Oreochromis niloticus: one gene and its partner. The protein of the gene in region 2 purifies or fractionates together with the protein of the main gene of each other region. This does not show direct contact. Links are inferred from orthologs where the notes say so. Each region holds a gene or a part of one and is shown on either strand. Other genes may lie near its edges. The genes, in order: lztr1 and ptpn9a.

Region 1 (8,696 bases), on a different chromosome or scaffold from region 2:
ACGAACTAAACTCAAAATGACTCACCACTCAACAGCCTTTCCAAACATATTATGTTTGCATTACATAAAGAAGTAGTACAATAGATAGGAATGGAACGTACAGGAACAAAGTCTTCTCGTTTAATAATTTACTGTCCTAATAAAAAATATTTGTGATATCATTCATCTACCTCCACAACATAGTTCTTTGTGTCAACAAATGAATGATATCACACAAACAATGAAAGTTTTCCAAATTTTTTCATACCTCACTGTCATGGCTGGGTTGAATCACCTCCCAGGTCTGAGAGTCAACATCATAGCAGTGCAGCTCATTGGGCAGGGTGTTGTCAGCAGCACCTCCAAATACATACAGGTGGCGGTCAAAGGCAACCATAGTGTGTCCATAGCGCCTCTGCGGAGGTGGAGGGGAGCCCCGCAGCAAATGTTCAGTTGGTATACGTGTCCACCTGAGAAAATGGGAGTTATGAGTGTCAGGTAATGCTGGTAAATATAGTATAAGTAGCTGAATGATTTAAAAAAAAAAAAGGGTTCTGCTTACATGTGGCCTTGGAACTCAAACTGAAAGAGGTTGTTAGTAATTTTGGCTCCACTCTGTCCAGAAAACACAAACATCTTGTCCCTGCATACGGCGACAGGGAAGTTGCAGCAAGACGGCGGAATTTCACCACTCTGATCGATCTGATGGACACAAAGACAGACGTGAACGCTGACCAAGGGTTTCTGAGTCTTTAACTTTAAATGTTGTTCTCTTTTGTTGTGAAAATGAATTAAACATACCTCTTCCCAGCACGCGTGCTCTCGGTCCTGCAGACTGATGGTCCACATGTCGTTCAACCTATACGTGGGCGAAATAGTCACCAAGGTTATGCTCAAAAATAAATACATCTGCAGAAAATGAAAACAAAAAAAAATTCATGCATACCTGGCATTTCCATCATAACCAGCAAATATCCAGAGTTTATCACTGTAGACTGTGGCCCCATGTGCAGATCTGGCCACTGGCAAGCTGGAACAGAGATTCACAGTCAACACTTAAGCATAGTCCCAGACTAAATTTTTATTTGCCTCTGTACCTCAAAGGTCCCTGCAAAGACTTAAAACAGTTGTAGATTTTGCTTGTCCTGGATTAAAATAAGCTGTCCGCAAGACTGTGGATTAGAGATACTATGGGATTAATTTTTGAAGTAGGTGGGCTTAACTTTTATCAGCAATTTTGCGAAGAATCACAGACTACTTGGAATATCTAAAAAAACCCACCAACCATCTATTACATCATGTTGATGACATACGTTTGCAGGGCCATTTTTGAACTGATGAGGGTTTAAGCCTTTAAAGCAGGGGTGGGGAACTCCAAGGCTCAAGGGCCGGTGTTTTCAGTATCAACCTGCAGGACACCGACCTTTGAGTCCTGGCGTTCCCCACCTCTGCTTTAAAATGACCGACCAAAAGAACTCTGTCTAGGCCAACTTGAAGATACTGATGTTAATAAGCATCAACTACAGCTAAACGCAGAACTGTAATGCTTATTCATGTACTGTAAAATTATTTTGTGTAATTAATTTTTTGATTGCCCAGTTAAGAAGCCACAAAAAGCATAAAATTTTATTAAAAAGCTGATGCAGAGACAAATTGATATGTACTTGTGGCTGGATCATTAACTTTGGTGTGAGTGCAGGCAAGTAGAGGATTGGGGAGTGGGGGCTGTCATGCTAGGACATAGTAGAAGGCAACTGTGCACAGTGTGAGCTCCTCTAAAGTTTTAGTTCAGCCAGTAAACATAAAGGCACATGCCAAACGCGCCCACAGTTTTTCCAACATATTTTATCCTCCAGACAACCTAAAGCACAGGTGTTGAACTCCAGGCCTTGAGGGTCGGTGTCCTGCAAGTTTTAGATGTGTCCTTGATCCAACACAGCTGATTTAACTATTTTACTATTCTTATTGTATATATTGTATATCTTATATCTTATTCATCTGTTCCTCTGTCTCCTGCTGCTTTGAGCATGTACATAACAAAAGAATTTCCCTCGGGATAAATAAAGTTATTCTTATTCTTGTTCTTAAGTGGCTAAATGACCTCCTCAACATGAGTTGAAGTTCTCCAGAGGCCTGATAATGAACTAATCATTTGATTCGGATGTGTTGACCCAGGGTGAGATCTAAAACCTGCAGGACACTGGCCCTCAAGGCCTGGAGTTCGACACCCCTGACCTAAAGTATTAAGGGTGGAAACCACGGAGGCAAGATACAATAATATCATGGGACACAATAACAATGACAATGTTTGGTCATTATTAAAAAGAAACAAGTTAATACATTACCTTCCCTCCACTTTCCATTCAGTCCACTGTCCTGTAGCAAACTTGTACTCAAAAAGGTCATTTTTGTTTTTCAGGTTTGAATTTGAGTAAATGTCTCCAGTGTAGCCCCCTAGAAAATATCAAAGTTGAACATTACAAAAATGCCACCAGAGTTTAAAATGGATAAAATAAAGGACTTTTATAGATAATTAAGGATTTACCAAATACAAACATGCTGCTGCCATAGACCACAGCTGAGTGGTGGTATCTGGGGGCAGGTGGCGTTCCAGTGGTGAAAGCTCTGTGAATTATAGACATGTGTCAACTTCTATTTTATTATACGGTTAAGATTGTGTATGTTTTATATATACTCTGGCTGATTTGGTGTCTTGTATTGTAATACTTTCAAAAAAAGTGTCCACTGTGGAAATAAGCTGATCTTTATGATTACTTTTTAGTGCTCCTTGTTCTGATACTCACTGCATGCACACTATGATGGTCTTAAAATTTAAATATGTGTTAATCTGGGATATTCCGTGGATTGTGATATGTATTGCAACAAAGTAAAATCAAATCAACTGTGGCTGTGAGGCTATAGCCTTACCGACACCAGGAACAATCCTTCACATCAAAGCGAAGGAGATCATTCAGCATGTTTTTGCTGTTGGGTGACACAGAATTCTCACATACATATAATAACTAATACATATATCTGAAAAATGTCTGCAAAGTCTTGTAGCCCTTACCCATTGTCTCCCCCGAACACATATATTGCATCTCTGTAAGCCACCACAGTGTGTTTGCTGCGCCTGCGTGAAGCCGCATGAAGTTCAATAAGACCACAGGTATTCAGTTTGAGTGAAGATGCTGCTGCTCATCTGTCCACACCTTACCTTGCACCAACAAACTCATCGCACGGAGGGAGTCTTCTCCAGCGATGAACAGTCTCAAATGGGCCGAAATTAAGTGTCAAATATTCCACGCTGTCAGAGCAGCTGTGGTCGAAATCAACACTCGGAGCCACTTTAGTTGACTTACAGGACATGTTTTTGCTAACTCCCCGGCTCAATCAGATGTCAGGGCCACTCATCTGCAGGGACGTGAACGATTAACGACGCTGTTAATGCCCCAGCATAAGTGCTAATACTTCTGTCACCACATGTAAATCTGGAGTGACATTGGTACTACTCTTACCCAAGTCTTCTTTGTTAAAGACTGAGGCTGTTGTCCTCCAGAGAACTGTTAGCTACAAAAAAGCTCAGCTAATCCTGGCTAGCTAGCTAGCCTCTAGCTAATGCTACGCCCCAAAACTAGCAACATGAAGAAGAAAACGACAAGTTAACGAACAACGCTAACGTTGCGCTAAAACATCTGGCTAACCGGTTCGATACCTACGATGTCATGATATTAGACACAAAAAACAACACCAAGAAATCAAAAGCAGTGGTAAATCCACGCCCCCCACAACCCTGCGGGTACTTCACTTCCTGTAATGTTGAAAAGGCGGAGTCAAAATGCTTTCAGTCCTGTAATCTTGAGTAGTATGTGCACATTTGAAGTTGACATGAAACACTATATATAGTACCTATAGGTATTAACGTTAATTTACAGTTTGGAGCCCTACTCTAAAAACCTGTCATAGATTTAGCACCGTCTGTAAAGCTGGAATTTGGAAAAGAGTCTTTGAAATTAAAGATTTTAAAGCACGTTAAGCACCATCTTGTGCCAGTATAGAATGTGATATCGCTGAGTTCCTCGGTTGGTTGTAGACACATTAGTTTAGTTTATGTTAGCTAACTAGTGACAGAATCAATAACCTAAAAGTAAAAAAAACAAAGAAAGAAAATAAGGAAACTAAAGCTAAAAAAGCAGCAGTCACTCATTGCTGCTCCTGGTAGCAGCAATGAGTTTTATGTTAAAAACAAGGATATAGTGTCCACTTTCACTCTTTTTCTCTGAAGCAGTAAGTGGTTCTCTGTTGTTAGCTAGCTGGACTGAAAAGGGGTTATAGATAACTTAATAAATGAGGGTTTTGTGAAGGATGGCCTGTTTGAGTCAGGTGCCCCAGTGGCTCACCAAACTGAAAAGCAGGAGTCAGACAAAATCCCCTCTGTGTTTGATTTTTCCTTGTCTGTTCGGTTGGACACACCGAGCAGAGAAATCAACAGGCAAAGCAGATGTCTACAAGATGTGATCATTAGTATTATATGTATTAAAATTATCTCTTTTCCCAAGCATATCATGTTTGAATTTACAGCATACAGGGTTACCACATGCGCATCACACCACAAACTTAACTGTCTTACCAAAGCATGACCGGGAATCCTGACATCCATAAACATGTCTGCATGAACAATAGATTGATGTATGCAACAGACAAAAGAAAAAATATTGTTTTGGCTTGGAACTTATTATTTTACAAAAGAAGAAGACTAACGTCGATTTTTTTTTCCATGCAAAGAACTTAAACAAGCTCTCCTTCAAGGAACCTAAAACTTTAAAAGTTATTGGTTCTCTCACGAGTTAGCTAATATAAACTAACATTAATTTATTAACAGCAACCAACCAAACAACGCAGTGACAGTCTTTACTGGGATAAAATAAAACCAAACATTCTCTAAAACGTTTAAAGCCTATTTCTTAAATACAGCTTTACAGTTTTAGAGTAGGGCTCCATGGTGTAAATTTCTCTCAACAAATGCAGTGTTTCATGCCCTCTTTATCGCTCTTACCTAAAGCATGTTTGTCCTATAGCAGCCACCGTAGCTAGCGAATATGCAGTTGAACTTGGGAGGTTAATGCTTCAGCTAGGAATCTGCATTGTAATTTACAATGCAACCGGAAACTCCTTTTAATCTGTGCTATAACCTTCCACATAACAGTTACATAATGTAACTTTAAGCATACTTTATTCAGCATGGTCAGCATGTGTGTCTCTATTTGGACAGGGAGAGTGGTTTTCACCCTCCGCAAACGCACTCCTGTCCAAAATCCTTACAGCATGTTGCTGCTCCAGACTAGCAAACTCCCAAAACTTCTGCTTTCATGTCAATTAATCAAGATCCAATTAATCAAGTGGGTTTGATTAGCAGCACTGCTGCTAATAACCCTCTTAATTCCAATGAAGTCAGAAATGAAAGGTGTAGTCTTTCAATTATCAATAATGGCACAGTGTAATATGTCAAGTGTCGTTGTTCATTTCAGGTTTTATTTGTCAAATTTTAATTCCTGTTAAGGGTTACATACATCCTGATATGTAAAACCGTAGACTTAACAGTGTTTGTAAGTCTATGACTGTCTTAACACAAATGTTAAGAACATCTCCAAGCAATGAATAAGTATTGTGATCATGCAGTTTCTGTTAAAAACATAACCATCCTCACTGAACTTTTCATGTTTTATTTTTTTATTTTATAACAACAAATCACAGTGGATTTAATTACACTTTTCTAACACTGATGATCAAAATAAATGCTTTAATAGGTCCGTTTGGAACCACTACCATTTTGAGGCATTATCTGCACCAAATGCTCATTTTAACAGGAAACTTGTGAAATGTTATTCACCCATCCATAGGCTGATACAATATGGTCATTTATCTTAACCCATCATTTTTAGGAACAGATATTTCCCAGGGCTGTCATTCAACAAAATTAAATGGTTGTTTTAAATAAACAATATTACTATTCATTTTATTGTGAGACTTAGCTTATCATATATTGGTAGTAACAATGGATTATTGTATGGAGAACAAAATCAGGACATTAGTTAAAATCAAATCATTAATAATACAAAACATTAAGAAAAGACAATACTGAATGGAAAGAAATACTGACTAAATATTATAGGTGAATTTACAAAACTAAAGTGTTTAACGAATGATGAAGAGCATTAACAAAACATAAATTAATGAAATGAAATTGCATTTCTTATGAGTGGTTCTGATAATAAGGCTGTGTAGACATGCGAGTGGTGTTTAACACTCTTGGTCATTGTACATTTAGGTAGGATCTTACTTGACAGACATATGTTTTACACTGTAAAAAGAAAATAGGTGAACCAACTTAATTGAATTGTTTCAATTGGTAACACCTAATTTAATTAAGTTCTTTGAAATGAAGTTAATACATTAGATAAATCAGTTGTGCACTCTAATGTATTAACTTCATTTCAAAGAACTTAATTAAATTAGGTGTTACCAATTGAAACAATTCAATTAAGTTGGTTCTTTTTTCAGTGTAGGTTATTTGCCTGCTCTCTACACAAGTCACATCACATTGTCACTCTACCTCCCAAAACAACTGGCAAGAGCAACACATTATTGTTGATTATCACTGAAATATAAGCAGCAAAACGAAAACTGAACAGTAAAGTTCTCACATGAAGAAAAAACATTGATATAGCTGGAAATGCAACATTTATCCTATAAAATTAAGTTGTTTTTTTTTTTTTTTTACAGCTAATTACATCATTTTTAATGGCTCTTTCATTTATTGATTCCTTATTAAACATATTACATGACAGACATGGAGAAGCACGTTTATAGTTGATAACATTAATGATGATTTGATTTAGAATTTGTAGTGATAGAACTCTCAAGTAGACTGATAGCTAATGCCATTCATTTAAAAAAAGTTATATATATATACATACATACATACATATGTATATATATATATATACACACATATATATATGTATAGAGAGAGAGAGAGAGATATTCACATACTTTTTAAAATCAGGACTGATTTTGTCCTCCACAGATAGTAAAGTAGTTGCATATTTTCACATATATTTCAGTCCTTAGTGGGGAATCAGTCACTTAGAAATGAAATGTTTTGACTTTTTCAAATGATCATCAAAGACGTCATTTACTACAAACCAACTGATATTCCTTCCATGTTTCCAAAATCTCAGAAATTTCTCAGGGATGGAAATAAATATTTCTTATCAATCCATCAAAGTGCTTTAGAACGTCATTGTGAACTTCATAGTTATGTCAAGTACTCCATTAGAACAAGCTGACATCTGAGAGTAAGAACAATTAAACGGACTCATAGTGGAGAATACTAAGCCTCGGCTGCATGTCGTAAACTGATTCAGTATTTGTAGAGCATAACTTCTTTTTTCTCAAGCTCTCATCATGTACATCACAGTGCACAACCATGTACAATTCAAACAGGCAAAGAGACAGAAAATATGACACGTTATTAACCTCTCATTCTGTCAACCACGCAGTACTTCTTAATACAGTGTTTCAGATTTAAATTGGCCCCTGGTGCTCACACACTGAGTTACCAGTTAATTATATCTCGGACATGGCCCCACAACTTGGTAATCCAGAGGTTCACCCCAAGCTCTGTTAAGTACTGAATCTCAGGCATTAACATCTTGCGGCACAGATTCCGATGTGCTTTGTCTATATTCTTTTTTAAATTATAGCCCATGATAGACTTCTCTCCGATTGGCTGCCAGGGCTGCATGTCTTTCTCTTGGATGCTGCCAGCTTCTACAGCATGGCCACCCTCAATGCAGATAGATGTCATCTCCTTGTTCCTCTTCTTGAGCTCTGCCACATCCTCAGCCATACGCTGGTGCCCGTACGCGTCTACTTTCTTCCAGAAAGTTTGATTAAAATGCTGATATAGCTTCCAATCAATAGCATTCCACTCAAGGGCCCTAGCTCTCAGCTCAGGAGTAAATTTAGACAAAGTGGATCCCTTACGGATATTGAGCTTAAAGAAGAGCAAATCATCCATCTCCCAGCAGAGGGCATCCTTTAGCAGGATGAGTGATTCCTCAAAGTGTTCCACTAACATGACCAGCTGAAAACGGTCACTGATGAATTTGATTCCTTCTTCCACTCGTGGATCATTCACATCCAGAGAGTTGTCCAGTCCAAAGTCAAAAAACAGCAGATTCTTGAGGTAGTAAGAGTTGAAGCTCCCTGGATCAAAGTACTTGTGGGGATCACGTAGGAACTCAGCCAGCTTGTCGTCACCTGGTATCTTCCAAGTAAAAGGCACCAGGCGGCCAAAGTAGTGGAAGGAAGATTCAAAAAGCTCTGCAGGGTCTCGCAGAATGGTGATGTAGGATGTGTCCACAGGCAGCAACTTGGACACTTCAGGTGCATTGAAGCGCATGTGATTACAGATAATGTTGAAACACATTCCCGGTCTGTAGTCTTTAACCTGGGAGCGCTGGAAAAAAGATGGGTAGAAGAAGTCATTTCTGCTGTCAGGAAAAGCAAATTTGACCCGGTGTTTCTCTCCAAACCGGAAAAGGATGTTAAGGAAGGTGCTGCTGGCTGTTTTATGGGTCTTCATGAACATGATATCAACTTTAGGAGTACAGGTGTAGGCAGTGTCTGAATTGTTGATGGTTGATTTGTGC
Region 2 (8,377 bases):
CATTCACTCGCACATTCACACCTAGCGGCAATTTGGATTATCCAATTAACCTATCCCCACAAGCTGCATGTTTTTGGACGGTGGGAGGAAGCCGGAGTACCCGGAGGGAACCCACGCAAACACGGGGAGAACATGCAAACTCCACACAGAAAGACCCCGGCCTGATGTTGGAATTGAACTCAGGACCTTCTTGCTGTGCGGCAACAGTGCTAACCACCGTGCCACCGTGCTGCCGGGTCAGACATCCATTTCCAAAAAATAAAACAACTGATAATAAGAATAATTCAGAATGGATAATCACAGATTTTAATATAATACACCAGTTTTAGGGCGGGCACTTTAGTTATCAAATCTGAGGCAGAGGCTCACTCATGTTAAGCAAACTTTTCAAAAAAAGTTAAATAACAGTTTGTGAGGAGAAAGAAGAAACATGCACGACACTGGTTCAGTGTCTTAACCACACAGAGGAAGTCAACCAAATCATCAAGCACTTAAAGTAGCATTTTTCAATACAGAAAGTGGAAAATCCTTTCTGTATGCTAGAGCATATAGTTAGGGCTGGATCAGGTGACCCTGAATCCTCCCTTTGTTATGCTGCAATAGGTGTAGGCTGCCGGGGATTCCCATGATGCATTGAGTATTTCTTCTTCAGTCGCTTTTCTCCCACACTATGTGTTAACAGACCTCTCTCCATTGAATCATTACTTGTTATTAATCTCTGGCTCTCTTCCACAGCATGTGTTTTGTCCCATCTTCCTCCCCTCACCCCAGCCGGTCGCTGCAGATAGCCTCCCTTCTCTGAGCCTGGTTCTGCTGGAGCTTTCTTCCTTCCCACTGTCACCAAAGTGCTTGCTCATAGGGAGTCATGACTGTTGTAAGGTCTACCTTACAATATAAAGCACCCTGAGGTGACTGCTGTGATTTCGTGCTGTATAAATAAAACTGGGAAAACCCCACTTCTGATCCTGTTCAAGCCATGTTTAGAGCTAAATGAATCCTGTCAAATGCTGCTATACATATCAATAAATATGTTCTTTAGAGCGTCTACTGACATTTTTAAGTATGCACACAAAGCTTCCATTAAATGCATGTAAAATTATCCATCCATCCATTCTCTTTCACTTATACTTATTAGGGTTGTGGGGAGGCTGGAGTCTATCCCAGCTGCCATAGGGCGAATGGTGGGCTACACCCTGGACGAGTTGCCAGACTGTCACATGACTAAAAGACAGACAACCATACAGACCTATGAGCAGTTTAGAATCACCACTTAACATAACCCCACTGACTGCATGTGTTTACACTGTGGGAGGAAGCCAGAGTACCTGGAGAGAACCCACCTAGACACTGAGTCAGAAAAAAAATCATTATCAAAGAATATGGGCAAAACAGAAGCAACACTCCCTTTATAATTTTGTTGACCTTGACTACAAGTCCACTCTTGCCCGTTTGTTTTCCTCTCTGTCTTCATTGTGCTCGCTTCTGTTCTCTTCAACTTTGTGCTGTTACCCAAAAGTTAAATTATAACAGTGAAGCAGAACTTACAAACCAATAAAAGGCATAAACTGATCCTCATTTATAACAATATTCAGACTAACTACAGGCTGCTACTGGACGTAAACTTCCTTTCGACTTGCTCTCACCTGGATCTGGAGCTGTACTGTAGACAAACAATGAAGCGCAGAACCGGAATAGAAATCTTTAACAAACTAAAAAGTGCACAAATAAAGTACATCAGCTCTTTTGCTGGTATATCACTAGCTGCCAGCAGACTAGTGGCTCGAAAAGCTAAAATTAGTGAATAATCTCTGGTGATTTAGGCTACATTAGCTAAAGTTTTTGACACCATTTAGTTTTTCAATCTGCATCACTGATTTGTGTCATGAAATTACCTCTGCATATTCTTAGTCAAGTCTTATCTAGAGTATTAATGACAAACCACACTGCTGAAGCAGCAACGCCTCTGTGAGAGACTGAATCATCATGGCACCAACAACACTGGGCAGTTTTCTTTAGGGATGCCTGAGCACCCCTAAAAAGGGTCTGAACTCGCCTATGTAAGATACCGATACCAGCATCGGCATCGATATTTCGATCTGCCCACCTCTACCATCCATGCATAATTCTACTACTACACTTTGTTTTATAGCTAGGTCTGTAAAGGATTTCCATCCTCATATGATTAAATACTTGAAATCGCAGGAATATTCAACTCAAAAATCACAAGTCAAAAAAGAGCAAACAAGTAAATCTTCACACTTGAGGACCTGTTCAGATATTACCTCAATAAACAAACAAAAACAAAGGCTGGCTGCTTATTTGTCCATCATCTAAGGGATTTATCAAGCAAATCCTTCTGCTCCAATAATCAAGAGTCTCATCATTCCTAGAATAAACGCTCCGTTCTTCGGGCTCCGAGTTCTTGACGCCTAGAATGAGCCAATAGGCCAATTCCTGTTCTTGGAATAGTTTTCTCAGAATTCTCTCACTTCTCAATACTTCCAAGCCTCGAAGTAGAAAAACAGGCCAATAATATCGAAAACGATATGATGACTTAAAGCTGGTGTTTAAGAGTGTGGAGACAGAGTTTGCACGCCTATTTTTACTTAAAGCAAACAACAAAGTACTCAAATATTTGAGAGAAACGCACTTCCTCCATCCTTAACTTAGAAAGTGCGGCGATATGTGCGTTAAAATGTGCTCGGATGGCACGGCATGAGCATGCAGGACTCTTTACGCTGAGCCAAGTTTCTACTGTGTACATTTTGTCAAAGACCGGCCAGCGTTTCCGACTCTCGCGGCCAAGCAGTTTCCCGTCAATATCACCGTGTTTAACTACGACACACGAAACAAACATGCCCCCCCTTCCCTTCCATTTTCTGGGGGGGCGATAAAGACAAGCTCGGCCTGTGCTGCAGCCCATCAGCTCAGCCGCTGACAGTGATGCAACGAGAGCAGTAATGCGCCAGAAATCGATACAATATTTCCGCTCTGCATTCAGGACCGTTTCGGAGCACAGCCACCATTTGCGCACTCTCAGTACACAGGGCAAAAAAAAAAAAAAAGCCTCCAGGTAGAGTCTCGAGACTGAAAGATTTTTATTTATTTATTTTTAGCCAACATAACCCAGAAACGAAGAAGTGGAAAAGACACGGACTCTCGGGGCCTACCTGCTCTTCCTCCGCTGATAAAGTAGCTGCCATGATTCCCGTCAAATCTTTGACCACTTCTTTTTTTTTGTTTCCTTCCCGACACTGCTCCGTTTCATACAGCAGAGGATGGCGGTGATGTCGGTGTGTCTGTCCCTCGTGTGAAAAAAACGGGGTTTGGAGGAGGAGGTGGAGGAGAGGGGTTGTCCCTCTCGCTCACAAACTTGAAGGCATCTAAAAACGCCACAGTTTTTAGCCGAGTGTGTTCGCTCCTGATACCGCCTGCGATCGCGAAGCACGCGGGCCAATTAGCATAAATCTACCAGTCTACAAACTCGAGCGAGCCGCTGATGTGTCAGATTTCACCGAGAAGGAAATTGGAAATGGAAAAGGGAAGGAGGAAAAAAAGCACGGCGCTCGGAACAGCTTAGACGAGGACTCGCTTCATTCAGCTCGGGTTCAGACCGTGTTGTGCAGCTCCTCCACCTAACTTAGCATACGTCGGACTGCGGCTGCCCGCTGCCTCCTCCATGCCATGTATCGCAAGTTTTGGGGCTGTGAACCTCGCCTTTATGCTGTGAGACGGTGACACGCGCACGACCCTGAGCACCGCGAGAGACCGCAGGCTTTTCTCTCTGCGTATCGCTGCGCCCCCCCCTGGTGGATAAGTCGAGAACATGACGAAAGCACACTGACCTCCGCCTTCATTCATAAAAATAGAAAACTAACAAGGGAAAAACGCCACTCTTAACATGGTTAAACCTAAATGGATGCTTTATTTGAAAAAGAACACGTGAAGAGTGCGTTCAGTGATATGTATTATTATATTATGTTTCCTGTAAGTACAAAATTTGACCTCAGTTAATCTCAATTTAGCTAATTAAGTGAGTAGTTTTGACTAGGGAGGCTATATTTCAAGTGAAATCTATAGTTTTTCAGCATTTATCCTAAAGCAACTGGAACTTTCTATTTTTATAATACTACTACTAATTCTAACAAGTTTGAATGAACATTTAATGTTTTCTAGAGTTGAGCGGATGAATCCGAATATTTATAGTATCAATAGCAATGCTGGCGTTACTTTTTCTATCCTCTAAGTTCGGTATGCAGCCCACTGGTAAATTATTCTTTTGGAAATGGAAAAAAATAAACCTCAAACATGCACTATGGTACATTTAAACCACATAAGTTGACCCAAAGTGCATTAGAGACCTGTCTCTGTCACAGTTATGAACATACACGAACAGCTTGAATGTGTGTTTTGTTGTATTAACTAAATATCGTGGAAAGTAATCACAACCCGTAAATAAGCTGCCTTTATAGGTTAAATGTGTCTGTATCGGTTTTGGTATCAGCGAGTCTGGCCCTGTATTTACTTACTTTCTAATATTTCTAAGGTAATGTAAGCAAAGAAGCAAAAGGTGTAAACTCTAGCAGCTAGGCACTAGCTGACTGAAAATATATCTTTGCATGCTAGTTATATTTTCAGGTGAGGATGTTGGACTATTTTTAAATATGTTAACTAAAAATAGAATCTTAGTAACACACCTTGTTGAGTGTGAGGAGTTAACTAAAACTGATGGCTATTTTATGTAAGGGCTAGTGCAATTAAAGTGTTAGCTTAGCATATTTTAGCGTACAGTCTAGAGGCACTGCTCACTGCTCATGCAAGGGTGCACATTTTCTTTTTGTTGTTGTTGTTGTTGTTTTTTTTAAGTAGTATTGAGCAATAGTTATCCAGACTGCCAAGTTTTTCTTTGGACATTGGCTGGTTTCTCATTCATTTTCAGTCCAGTCATGCTGTTTATACATGTAACAGACAACTTAGCAAAGAACCAATTTTAATTTCTTTCTCAAGCCACTTTTTTACGAGCACCCTGTTGCAAAACCATACCAGTTGTTTACATTTCCTTAGTCAAATCTATGAAAAATGCCAACGATAACACATTTTGACAGGCATTAAAATGATTTTCTGCATAAATAAAGTTATTCCCAAAAGCCAAATACTTGGCATATCATTGCACGGTGTGCAGTGTCTCCTAAAAAAATACTAAGAAAATTGGACAAACAGAGGACATAAGAAGAAATAGTTCACCCCCCCCCCAAAAAAACTAAACAAAACCCCAAACAAACAAAAAAACCTATCCACAGCAGCAAAGACCTGAGACAGGATCTGAAAGATGCATTTGGCTCTGTAGTTGATCCATCCACTGTTCATCGAAACCTTGTCAGAAATGGTCTCAGTGGAGCGGTGGCTGCCAAGAAGCCATTCTTAAGGAGAGAAAATGTGAAGAAAACTCTGAGGTAAATACTGAAAATCAGTGGCAACATGTCTTATGAAGAGATGATTCCAGATTTGAAAATTTTGGTAAAAATGGTCATCAATAAGCACAGAACAGGTCATGTAGAGGTACAACAGTGACTTTCTATAGACATTTGTGAAACACGGTGGAGGGGCTGTCTTAGTTTGGGGCTGCATTTTAGCCAGTGGTGTTGGACATCTTGTCAAAATTGATGGAATTATAAACTCAGAATAGTACTGTCAGATTGCACTACCATCTGGAAACCATATGATTGGCATCAGCTTCATTTTTCAACATGGAAACGATCCCAAACACACTATAAAAACATATCTGGATATTAAAAAACAAAGAATGGAACGCCATCAGCCATGGATTGGCCTACCCAGAGCCTCGACCACAACATTATTGAAGCAGTGTGTGATCATCTTAACAGAAAGCAGAACAACAGACAGCCAATATCCAAAGAAGAGCTTTGAATGTCCTTCAAGGAGCCTGGAGAACTATTCCTGAAGATACTTAAAGAAATGACAAGAAAGCTGCCTCAGAGAGTTTAAGCTGTGTTGAGGATAAAGGTGGCCATACCAAATATTGACCCTCATTAAGCTTGTTAGAATTGTACTTACTTTATATACCTTATAAATTCCTCATATTCCATGCATGTTTGCACATAATTCCATAAACTGCTCCACCTATTTCCCATTTTTCTTGCAAAATATAAAGAATTAAGGGGTGGCTCAAGACTTTTGCACAGTGCTGCAGCTAGTTTGTTTGTTGGACTCCAAGCTGTATTCCTGATTCAAGAACTTTAAATCCTATTAATGAAGGGTTAACATTCCTTTTATTCTTTCTGCCATTGAGCTGGCACTGCGACCTCAAACAGCCTTTTCTCGGTTAAAAACACAATTAATCCAATGAGCAACACCAGAATCACCATTAGCCAGTAAGCACCATAGGTAGGACTAACTGCAGTGTCATGGTGTTTGTTGAGTTTGTCAAGCTGTGCATTGCAACTTTCTTAAAGGTACATGCAATCTGAAGCAGAATGTTATTGTAATTTTCAGCCACTGTAATCTGCATTCATAGTGTGCAGCTTTGTGCACATTTTTCATCAGCTTTGAGTCTACATCACAGCTGCACTCCCCAAACCAGCAATTCACATTATTAATGCATTACATAAAGTGGGAAGACACAAATAATAATATGAGCAGGCCCATCCATAATAGTTGGTTGCACTTATAGCAGTTTAATTAGTCAAACTTTCAACTCTTGCTTCCTTCTTGCTACATTATAATCTAGTAGAGTTTACAGGAAATGCATGACATCATAAGAATGAGAAAATACCCAACAGCACGATAAAGTCACTGTAACATGAGCCACAGACACAATACAGGTCTCCCTTGGAATATTATGGGCTGCTCATATAGTTCAGCAGGGAGGTTATTTCGAGCGCAGCCAGGAGATTGCATATACCACAAAGCTATTGAAGGCCATCATTTCACGCCTTTGGGTGTTTTAATGAGACTGCAAAGGTAAAATGATGCAAAACAAAGTGAGAGGCCGTGCTTATCTCAACATAGGTCGATAGAGAAGGAAGGGAAGATGGCAGAGTGTTTGTCAACGTGCTTCTGTAGGCCATCAAATATAGGAACACTGGAAGGCACGATTATTCCCCCCACAATAAGCAAACTTTAAATATTGAAGCGTGAGAAAGTCTTGCTTGAAAACCAAAGGGAAAAGGGAGTGGACAACAATAGACTTCCTGTGAAACCAGCTGACATCATCCTTTGGGAAAATGTGATTGGTAAACCTTTAGCCCTTCCCCCTAATAGTGTCAATCTGACTAAAAAAACTAAAAAAAAGGACGCAGTAAACCTGTGAGAAATAAAGATTTCAAGAGTTGATAAACACATCAATAAAAGCTAGAGAGGAAGGTGAGGTTCTCTACAGTTGTTGCCAAAAAAAAAATCAGTTCGCTACAAGATTGAAGTTGTTTTACATAATGCGGGTTAATGACACGAGCCACTTCAGGCTTTATACATCAAGTCTAAAATGGGTGCTAAATGCATTTCGCAAACACACAAACACACTTAGCCAAACTCTGTGAACCCAGTGCTGCATGAAGCTGTATGATCTTAGTGCAGTACGTAAGAACTGAGGAGATTTAATGACCTGAACAGCAGTTTACACTCTTTTATTAACGTGGCACACAGATGAAGTTTGCTCTCACTGATATTACTCTCAGACGTGCACAGAGAAAGAGAGATGTGCAGAAGAAACACAAATCTGCTTCACTCCTTAAACGTCTTGTAACAAGGTTTTTGTAAAGATCAGAGCATCTGTGTCTGTGTGTGTGTGGAGGGGGGGAGACTGACAGCACTATGAAAAATGTATCTGTGAATTGGCAGGTGCTCGGTTCCTGGAAAGTACTGCTGAGTCATATCGGAATTCTTGCAGTAACCGCACATCTCGCTTTGCTCTGTTTGACATGTCTCTCAGTACAGAGGTGAAAGAGGAAGTATCCGACTGTACTCGATGAACTGCATTTGTCAATTTGCTCTGGATTACACAAGGCGTATTCTTTAGATTTTTTGCAGAAACCTTTAACCGCAAATGCAAGAAAACTGGGAAACGTTGCTTCTTGTTGTTTTTCCGAATTATGCTTCGTTAAAGAAAAAAAAAAAATTAACTGAATCATCATCACAAACCACATCATGCTTTCCAGGACTTATCGTGTGTAAATGTGGTATGCTGAACTTCTTTCAGTTGCATTGTACACTTTGTGATCTACGTTTCCCAGAATCAGTCTACCCCACAGAAGTGTTGAAACGTGTTATTTTCACCTGTCAATGTTCCACGTAGGTGGCGAGAACAATAGTGATACCGCTGTAAGAGCAAGACAAGGAGAAAATTATGTTCTTTTTCCAG

The links.
Region 1: the proteins of ptpn9a (region 2) and lztr1 purify together in Homo sapiens (affinity purification with mass spectrometry; 3 studies listed by BioGRID and IntAct, with this or other methods). This does not show direct contact. The link is inferred for Oreochromis niloticus from reciprocal best matches to the Homo sapiens genes PTPN9 and LZTR1.

The regions. Positions count from the first base shown.
Region 1 is NC_031977.2:17,829,586-17,838,281, forward strand, and holds the start of lztr1 (leucine-zipper-like transcriptional regulator 1), read right to left. Parts: upstream 3,810-8,696; 5' UTR 3,349-3,809; coding exon 3,197-3,348; intron 3,113-3,196; coding exon 3,050-3,112; intron 2,965-3,049; coding exon 2,908-2,964; intron 2,605-2,907; coding exon 2,525-2,604; intron 2,434-2,524; coding exon 2,325-2,433; intron 1,010-2,324; coding exon 926-1,009; intron 839-925; coding exon 781-838; intron 682-780; coding exon 542-681; intron 450-541; coding exon 248-449; intron 1-247. Other genes in the region: gal3st1a (galactosylceramide sulfotransferase), read right to left, coding at 7,598-8,696. UniProt on the Homo sapiens protein: Substrate-specific adapter of a BCR (BTB-CUL3-RBX1) E3 ubiquitin-protein ligase complex that mediates ubiquitination of Ras (K-Ras/KRAS, N-Ras/NRAS and H-Ras/HRAS).
Region 2 is NC_031972.2:44,377,304-44,385,680, forward strand, and holds the start of ptpn9a (tyrosine-protein phosphatase non-receptor type 9), read right to left. Parts: upstream 3,793-8,377; 5' UTR 3,204-3,792; coding exon 3,171-3,203; intron 1-3,170. UniProt on the Homo sapiens protein: Protein-tyrosine phosphatase that could participate in the transfer of hydrophobic ligands or in functions of the Golgi apparatus.